Danio rerio: one gene and its partner. The protein of the gene in region 1 interacts with the protein of each later gene in a biochemical or structural test. Links are inferred from orthologs where the notes say so. Each region holds a gene or a part of one and is shown on either strand. Other genes may lie near its edges. The genes, in order: cltcb and ocrl.

Evidence for each region.
Region 2: the proteins of cltcb (region 1) and ocrl form a complex in vitro, tested with the Homo sapiens proteins (2 studies listed by BioGRID and IntAct, with this or other methods). The link is inferred for Danio rerio from reciprocal best matches to the Homo sapiens genes CLTC and OCRL.

The regions. Positions count from the first base shown.
Region 1 is NC_133190.1:19,741,592-19,745,420, reverse strand, and holds part of cltcb (clathrin heavy chain 1), read right to left. Parts: intron 3,616-3,829; coding exon 3,451-3,615; intron 2,920-3,450; coding exon 2,739-2,919; intron 2,004-2,738; coding exon 1,840-2,003; intron 1,743-1,839; coding exon 1,617-1,742; intron 1,524-1,616; coding exon 1,381-1,523; intron 1-1,380. UniProt on the Homo sapiens protein: Clathrin is the major protein of the polyhedral coat of coated pits and vesicles. Two different adapter protein complexes link the clathrin lattice either to the plasma membrane or to the trans-Golgi network.
Region 2 is NC_133189.1:38,410,372-38,414,200, reverse strand, and holds part of ocrl (inositol polyphosphate 5-phosphatase OCRL), read left to right. Parts: intron 1-1,328; coding exon 1,329-1,494; intron 1,495-1,957; coding exon 1,958-2,193; intron 2,194-3,829. UniProt on the Homo sapiens protein: Catalyzes the hydrolysis of the 5-position phosphate of phosphatidylinositol 4,5-bisphosphate (PtdIns(4,5)P2) and phosphatidylinositol-3,4,5-bisphosphate (PtdIns(3,4,5)P3), with the greatest catalytic activity towards PtdIns(4,5)P2.

The DNA of each region.
Region 1 (3,829 bases):
TTACGCTGCGCCAAACTGTTCAGGGGTGTTCAGATGGCTGGTTTCACATTCCTTTCAGCCAAGTCACCATGCAGTCTAAAGTGGCTTTCACACTGGATGCAGAAAGCACTGCACTATGAAACCAATTCATTTCAATGGCTTGTACCACAAAATGGCAGTTTGTTGTCACAAGTTGTTGTCACAAGTTTATTGTGGCCAGAGGAGACATGGTTATGCCTAGCTGAGACAGTTTTTTTCTTGCTCTGATTTGCTTGGCTAGGACTTGTGGAGCTGCACACCGGTAGAGTTGCACTTCAGTGTTTTCAGTGCTTTCAACAGTGACTTTTGCATCACACTGAACTTCAACTGTGACAACTAAACTGAAGCCATTTTAATTTACCAGAACTTCATCTATATTTTACATAATCTACATCAAAAAAGCACTATAGATAAAGATGAATTGAAATAAATATGAATTGAAAAAAAAAAGATCAATATTTTACACTGTGTGTATTCCATTCATGAAACTGTATTCTTATCTAATGATGAATCGCACATGCTCACAGGAAAAAAAGCAAATACATTTAAAGTCAGAATTATTAGCCCCCTTTGAATTTTTGTTGCTATTTTAATATTTCCCATATTATATTTAACATAGCAAGGAAATTTTTACAGTATGTCTGATAATGTTTTTTCTTCTGGAGAAAGTCTTTTTTTTTTTTCGGCTAATATAAAAGCAGTTATTAATTTTTTAAACAACATTTTAAGGACAAAATTATTACCCCCTTTAAGCTAACTTTTTTTTCGATAGTCTACAGAACAAACCATCATTATACAATAACTGCCTAATTATCAAAACCTGCCTAGTAAACCTAATTAGCCTAGTTAAGCCTTTAAAAGTCACTGTAAGCTGCATAAAAGTGTTTTGAAAAATATCTAGTAAAATATTTTTTACTGTCCTTATGGCAAAGATAAAAACAAATCAGTTATTGGAGATGAGTTATTAAAACTATGTTTAGAAATGTGTTGAAGAAATCTACTCTCTGTTGTACAGAAATTGGGGAAAAAATAAACAGGGGTTCTAATAATTCAGGGGGGCTAATAATTCAACTTCAACTGTACATGGCATTTCTACAAAGCATACTTCATGCTGCTTGTACTGTCGTTGCAATGCTGATAAAATAACATCTCTTGACTTTTTTACTATCAATAAAATTGTAATCTCAATTAAATGTGTAGGGTATTTTAAATCTGTACAATTTATGTTATTGGGTTAAATTAAAAAATGTGTCACAAAATATATTTTAAAAATGAAAAAATGGAAAATGGAAATGGAAAAGCATTTTCAGTTTATATATGATCAGCAAATTGTTAAACTCTTAAAACACTGCAGTGTTGCACCTGTTTCTTTTCTCCACCTCCGCCACAAGCTCATCAGTGGAGAACTGTCCTCTGACCACCAGAATGAGGTTCTTAATGACGTCCTCAGAGCAATCCACATCCAGTAGCCCTCCAATCACCACAGGCAAACGGCTGGGGTTGACCTGATAAAAACAGTCCATCATTATTCACTCTCCCATTAAGCTGAAATGTTGATGATGATTCCTCAAGCATTATCATAATCGCGCCTCAAGTACCTTCTGAACATAAATCTCAATGTACTTCTGGAGGTTGTTGCGGTACAAGTAGAGCACAAGGTCATGGACAAAATCAAAGCGGTCACACACAATGATGAGGGGCAGCTGGTCAGTCAGTTTTGCTTCCTGTGAAATATGAGGAAGATAAAATAAATAATTAAGCAACATTAAGGGTTTGTTAAAAGATAAAAAGTAAATTCAGGAGCTTATTGTGGTATCACACCTTGAGGAAGTTCTTCACTCGCTCAGGATCATAACAGTTGCTCTCCCTGCAGATTCTCTCCACCTCTTTGATTTGACCAGTCTTACAGGCAGCCTGAATGTATTTAAAGTGAACCTCTGGATCCTGGCTAAAGTTCACAATGGAGCCCAGGAAGTAAAACAGACCTGTAGAGAACAATCATATAATGTTCACGAGATCTTAATCATTTTCATGATTGGGTTCAATTCAAATAGTACATTTATAACGCTTTTGCTCTCAACATTAAAATATATTGTAGAAACATGATGCGCTTTAATTAAAATATATATTAAATAGATATTAAATAAACTAAAAAATACAATGAGAACTCTCATTTAGAGGGGTAGCAATCCTTCTGAAAATGTTCACTTTTTGTTCCAAACCTCTTTGAGCTTCTTTCTACACTTCAACACAAAGGAAGATACTCTGAAGAATGTTGGAAAAACAGCCATTGACTTTTATAGATTTATGCTCCTATTATGAAAACCAATGCCAGCTTTTTTCCAACATTCTTTAGAAAACCTTGTTTTGTGTTCAACAAAAGAAAGAAATACATAAAAGTTGTAAAAGTGTGAGTAAATAATGAGGATATTTTGAAATAGCCAAATATATAAAGCACTAGGTACCAGATTATATTTATAAAATATGTATTATATTATTTGTATAGTATTTCCATGTGTTAACCATTAAAATATACTTGGCTATTTGGTGGAAATTATGGTTTCCTAGGTGGAAATAACAGTTTCCTTAAGGTCAAGTCAGAGCAAATACACAAATATGGAGATCCACAAACACAGTTAAAAAAAGAGACATGATCCTTCAGGCAACACAACCCGGTCTCAATTTCAGTTCTGGTATACAAAACATTTTAGTATGGTTACCCTCAAAGCTCTTGAAGGACTCGAAGAGCTCTGTGAGGGACTGTGTGGAGAGCTGCTCGTGATACTTGGAGGCCACCTGGACACAGATCTGCAGGTTCTGCCGTATGTTGGCAGACAGCATGGCTCTCAAACACTCCATAGAGTCTTCAACCGAGAGAGAGCCAAAGAAATTCACCAGCCACTGCAACCAGAGCACAACACATCAGTGAAAGCTTTCACAAAATGTTTTTTGCAAAACAAGTGACAATGTCAACTTGCAAATAAAAAAACAGCAACTAAAATATTATTGTAGATGACAAATATCTAATACTGCAAGGTTGCTGCAAAAATAAAATCCTGAACCCAAAATACTGAATTTTATCGATGAAACACCAATAAAGCACAGACAGCCTTCAACGTTCAGAGTTTTGGTAAACTGGTAAATGGCTTTCACACTGAACGCACACTGCACTATAAAACCCATTTATTTCATTGGTTTGTGCCACAAAAAGGGCAGTTTGTCGTCAACTAGATTGCATGTGCGACGCAGTTAAAGTTCGTTTAGTCAGAGAAGAATTTGTCAAGCCCAGCTAAGCCTGGTTTCTTACTAGGTTTTTTCTCATCAATTGGTGAAGTACAGCACAAACCCCCAACAAAGTTTTGGCCAACTGGAGGACAGCTGACTAATAAAATAGCACTGAGTGCAGTAGCTGTATCAGACTGTGTGTTTTACCTCTGGGTTGAGCAGGTGTGTGTGGACCACCGCTCGTTTGATGTCATAAAGGTCAGTATAGTGCTCCAGAGCCCTCTGAAGAAGACCAGCCTTTTCACACAGCTGTGCCACATGAGCCCGATCATAGTGAGTGAACATCTGATTGCCCAGGATGGCATCTGCCACCTGAAAAAAAAAAAAAAAAAAAAAAAAAAAAAAACTAGCATGTTATGTACGGTACAAAACTTAAATATACTGAAATAATTAAAAACAAAATTATTAAATATAAACAAACACTGAAATCAAAACTGAAGTAATTAAAAATAACTTAAATATTTAACTAAACATTTAGATATATAATTATCACTCCTATTTTAATTCTTTAAAATATATTTTTTTG
Region 2 (3,829 bases), on another chromosome or scaffold:
ATCCTGTAACCATTGGCTTCATTTGCAGGAAACAAATGCTATGTATATTAAGGGTTACAGGTTTCCAACAATTTTTAAAGTATCTTTTTTTGTGTGTTCAACAGAAAAAAGAAACCCATAAAGGTTTGAAAATCAAAAGATGAATAAATTAGGACAATTTGCGTTTTTGTGTTATTAATTATATCTTAAATCCACATTATTCACTTCCAAAAGAAGACTATGTACGGTGCAGTGAAGTTTTGGATACTAAAAATATTTATGTGAAATGGCGAAAAAAAGAGTTTTGATATGCTTTTAAACACAAAAGTAGACATTTTGAAGAATGCTGGAAACCTGTAACCATTATACTTCATTAGGAAAACCAAATGCTATGTAAATGAATCGTTACAGGTTTACAACATTTTTCAAAGTATCTTTTTTGTGTTCAACAGAAGAAAGAAACTCATAAAGGTTTGAAAATCAAAGGGTGAGTAAATGACAATTAAATTTTTGTGTAAATAATTACGTTTTAAATCCACATTATTCCGTTCTAAAAGAAGACCACAGGATTTAGCTGGAACCTGCAAAAATAAGATGCTGTGAAGTTTTGGATACTGAAAATATTTATGTGAAATGGTGAAAAGAGTTTTGATATACTGTTGAACACAAATGAAGACTTTTTAAAGAATACTGAAAACCTGTAACCATTGACTTCATCAGCAGGAAAAAAAAACAAATGCTATGTAAATGAATGGATACAGGTTTCCAACATTTTTCAAAAATCTTTTTTTGTATTCAACAGAAGAAAGAAACTCATAACGGTTTGAAAATAAAATGGTGAGTAAATGATGACAATTTAATCTTTGGGGTAATTAAATATGCATTTTTCTGTTCCAAAAGAAGACCACAGGAATTAACTGGAACCTGCAAAAATATTATGCATTTGGATAGTTTTGGATACTGAAAATATTTATCTGAAATGGCAAAAATAAGTTTTGATATTCTGTTGAACACAATAGAAGATATTTTGAAGAATGCTGAAAACCTGTAATCATTGACTTTATCGGTAGGAAAACCCAGTGCTATGTCAATGAATTGTTGCAGGTTTCCAACTTTTTTCATTTCAATATATTTTTCCGTGTCCAACAGAAGAAGAAAAAATAAAGGTTTGAAAATCAAAGGGTGAGTAAAGGGAGACAATTTTTATTTTTGGGTGATTTATCCCCTTAAGCGTTGATGCTGAAATATTACTGAGGTAATGTTGAATGTCCAGTAATAGAGCAATGGCAGATGATAGAGCATGAATTTCTAGCCTAATATTTATGTTCTGCCTGTTCTTTTATCACTAGTTCACCTTTGAGAATGTGAAGTTCCGTCAGCTGCAGCGTCAGAGTTTTCTTATCACTAATGATGGACAAGTTGCTTGCACCTTCGCCTTTATTCCCAAACTCAATGACTCCCAATACTGTAAGCCCTGGTTACGTGCTGAGCCCTGTGAAGGGGTACTAGATCCTAGTAAGTATCTCATATGGCATTTTAACTCTTTATCTGTGTTATGACATTTTATTTGATGATTTTGTTAAATCATTTTTATATTTTTCGGTTTGATTCTTTTTTTTTGGGGGGTTTTGTAATAAAAAAAAAAAAGACCTGATTGGACAATTTACCTAATTGTGCAATAAAAAGGCACAGAAGTGTTTCAGAAGTAAATTTTCTCAGAGGTGGCAAATGCATTTCTCCAATCTTAACTGAATACTGTTATAGTAAAGCTGAGATTAGTCAAAGCAGCAATAATGTAGTCTGGCAACTTTACACAGTATTTTGAGCAAGAAATTGATGGCATTTTTTCTTTAATGCTTTAAAAAATTGCATGCCGACTTCTTATATACAGTAGAGAGGACATATCTGATTTATTCATGTGAAGACTGAGACCGTCCCATCATCCAGATTGACTCAAATATTCATGTTATCTGTACAGATGAGAAAATCGAGATCTTCTTGGAGGTGTATGTCAGTAAAGACTCAGTGACGCTTTTAAACTCTGGTGAAGACAACATTGAGGACATCCTGGTGCTTCATCTGGACAGAGGGAAAGACTACTTCATCACTGTCTCTGGAAACTACCTGCCCAGTTGTTTCGGCACATCTCTGGAGACTCTGTGCCGCATGAAGAAACCTATCCGTGAGATCCCCATCACCAAACTCATCGACCTGGTGAGGCCCATTCCACTGCTGGAGTCGCTTAGATTAGTAGCAGCTAATACAAAAGTAAAAGTGGTTTTATCAAATTTTTGTCTGTGGATGGAAGTGACAGATAATGGTGAGGAATTTTTCCTTGAGATTTTGCAAAAGAGAAGACTTTCCAGTTTTGCTAGAGAGAGAATGTTATAATTATATACAACTTGTTCAGTAGCATTCATGCATTCATCATGCAAACCACTCTGTTCATTTCATTCTTCACTCTATTCTCAAATTATGATTAGTTTTTCATTTTTTGGGTGAACTATCTCTTTCAGGGGTGGACAGATATATACTGACTTCCATTTTTGTTCTGAAAGCACTTTTTTTTTTTAAAAATGGCTTTATTTTGGCAGCTGAACCTCTAGAGAAAGACTATACGTGTCTTCACAGATTTCGTGGAAGGGGGGATCAATTTCAGTCTTAATTATATTCTCAAATGATATTTCTTTTTTCATTTGGGTGAACTATCCTTTAAACAGTATCCATATAGAGACCTCCATTTGTGTTCTGAAAGCACTTTTAATAGAATGTTTGGTTTCTCTTTGCAAAGAGAAAGACTGAACGTGTCTTTACTGATTTCATGGAAGAGGAGATTTATTTAATTCTTCACTATATTCTCAAATTATAATTCATATTTCATTTTTTGCGTGAACTATCCCTTTAAGTGGTAGCCAGATATAGACTGACTTCCATTATTCTTCTGAAAGCACTTTTAATAGAATCTTTGGCTTCATTTTGGCAACTTTGGAAATGTGTTTTCACTGATTTCATGAAAGGGAATGAGTCTTCACTCTTCACAATATTCACAAATTATAATTAGTTTGTAATTTTTTGTGTGAACTATCCCTTTAAATGGTAGCCAGATATAGACCTCCATTTGTTTCTGAAAGCACTTTTAATAGAATCTTTGGTTTCATTTTGCCAAAAAGAAAGACTAAATGTGCCTTTACTTATTTCATGGAAGGGGGATCAATTTCACTCCTTACTATATTCTCAAATTTTTAATTTTTTGCGTGAACTATCCCTTTGAATGGAAGCCAGATATAGACTGATTTCCATTTTTCTTCTGAAAGCACTTTTAATAGAATCTTTGGCTTCCTTTTGGCAGCTTTGGCAACGTGTCTTTACTGATTTCATGGAAGGGGAGTTCAATTTCACTCTTCGTTATATTCTCAAATTATAATTCATTTTACATTTTTTTTGCATGAACTATCCCTTTAAATGGTAGCAATATCTAGACCTTCATTTGTGTTCTGAAAGCACTTTTAATAGAATCTTTGGTTTCATTTTGCCAAAGAGAAAGACTAAACGTGTCTTCACTGATTTTATGGAAGTGTGGGATAAATTTTACTCTTCACTATATTCTCAAATTATGATTAGTTTTTCATTTTTTGAGGGAACTCTTTTAAATGGTAGCCATATATTGACCTCCATTTTTGTTCTAAAGACTAAACGCATCTTCACTGAGGGGATATCAATTTCACTCTTCACTCTATTCTCAAACTATGATTAGTTTTTAATTTAGAAAGTAATCGGTCTTCTTTTTAGTTATTTTCTCTTTCTGTCTATTTACTGATCGCCATGGGAAGCCAAAAGCCGCTTATCTATG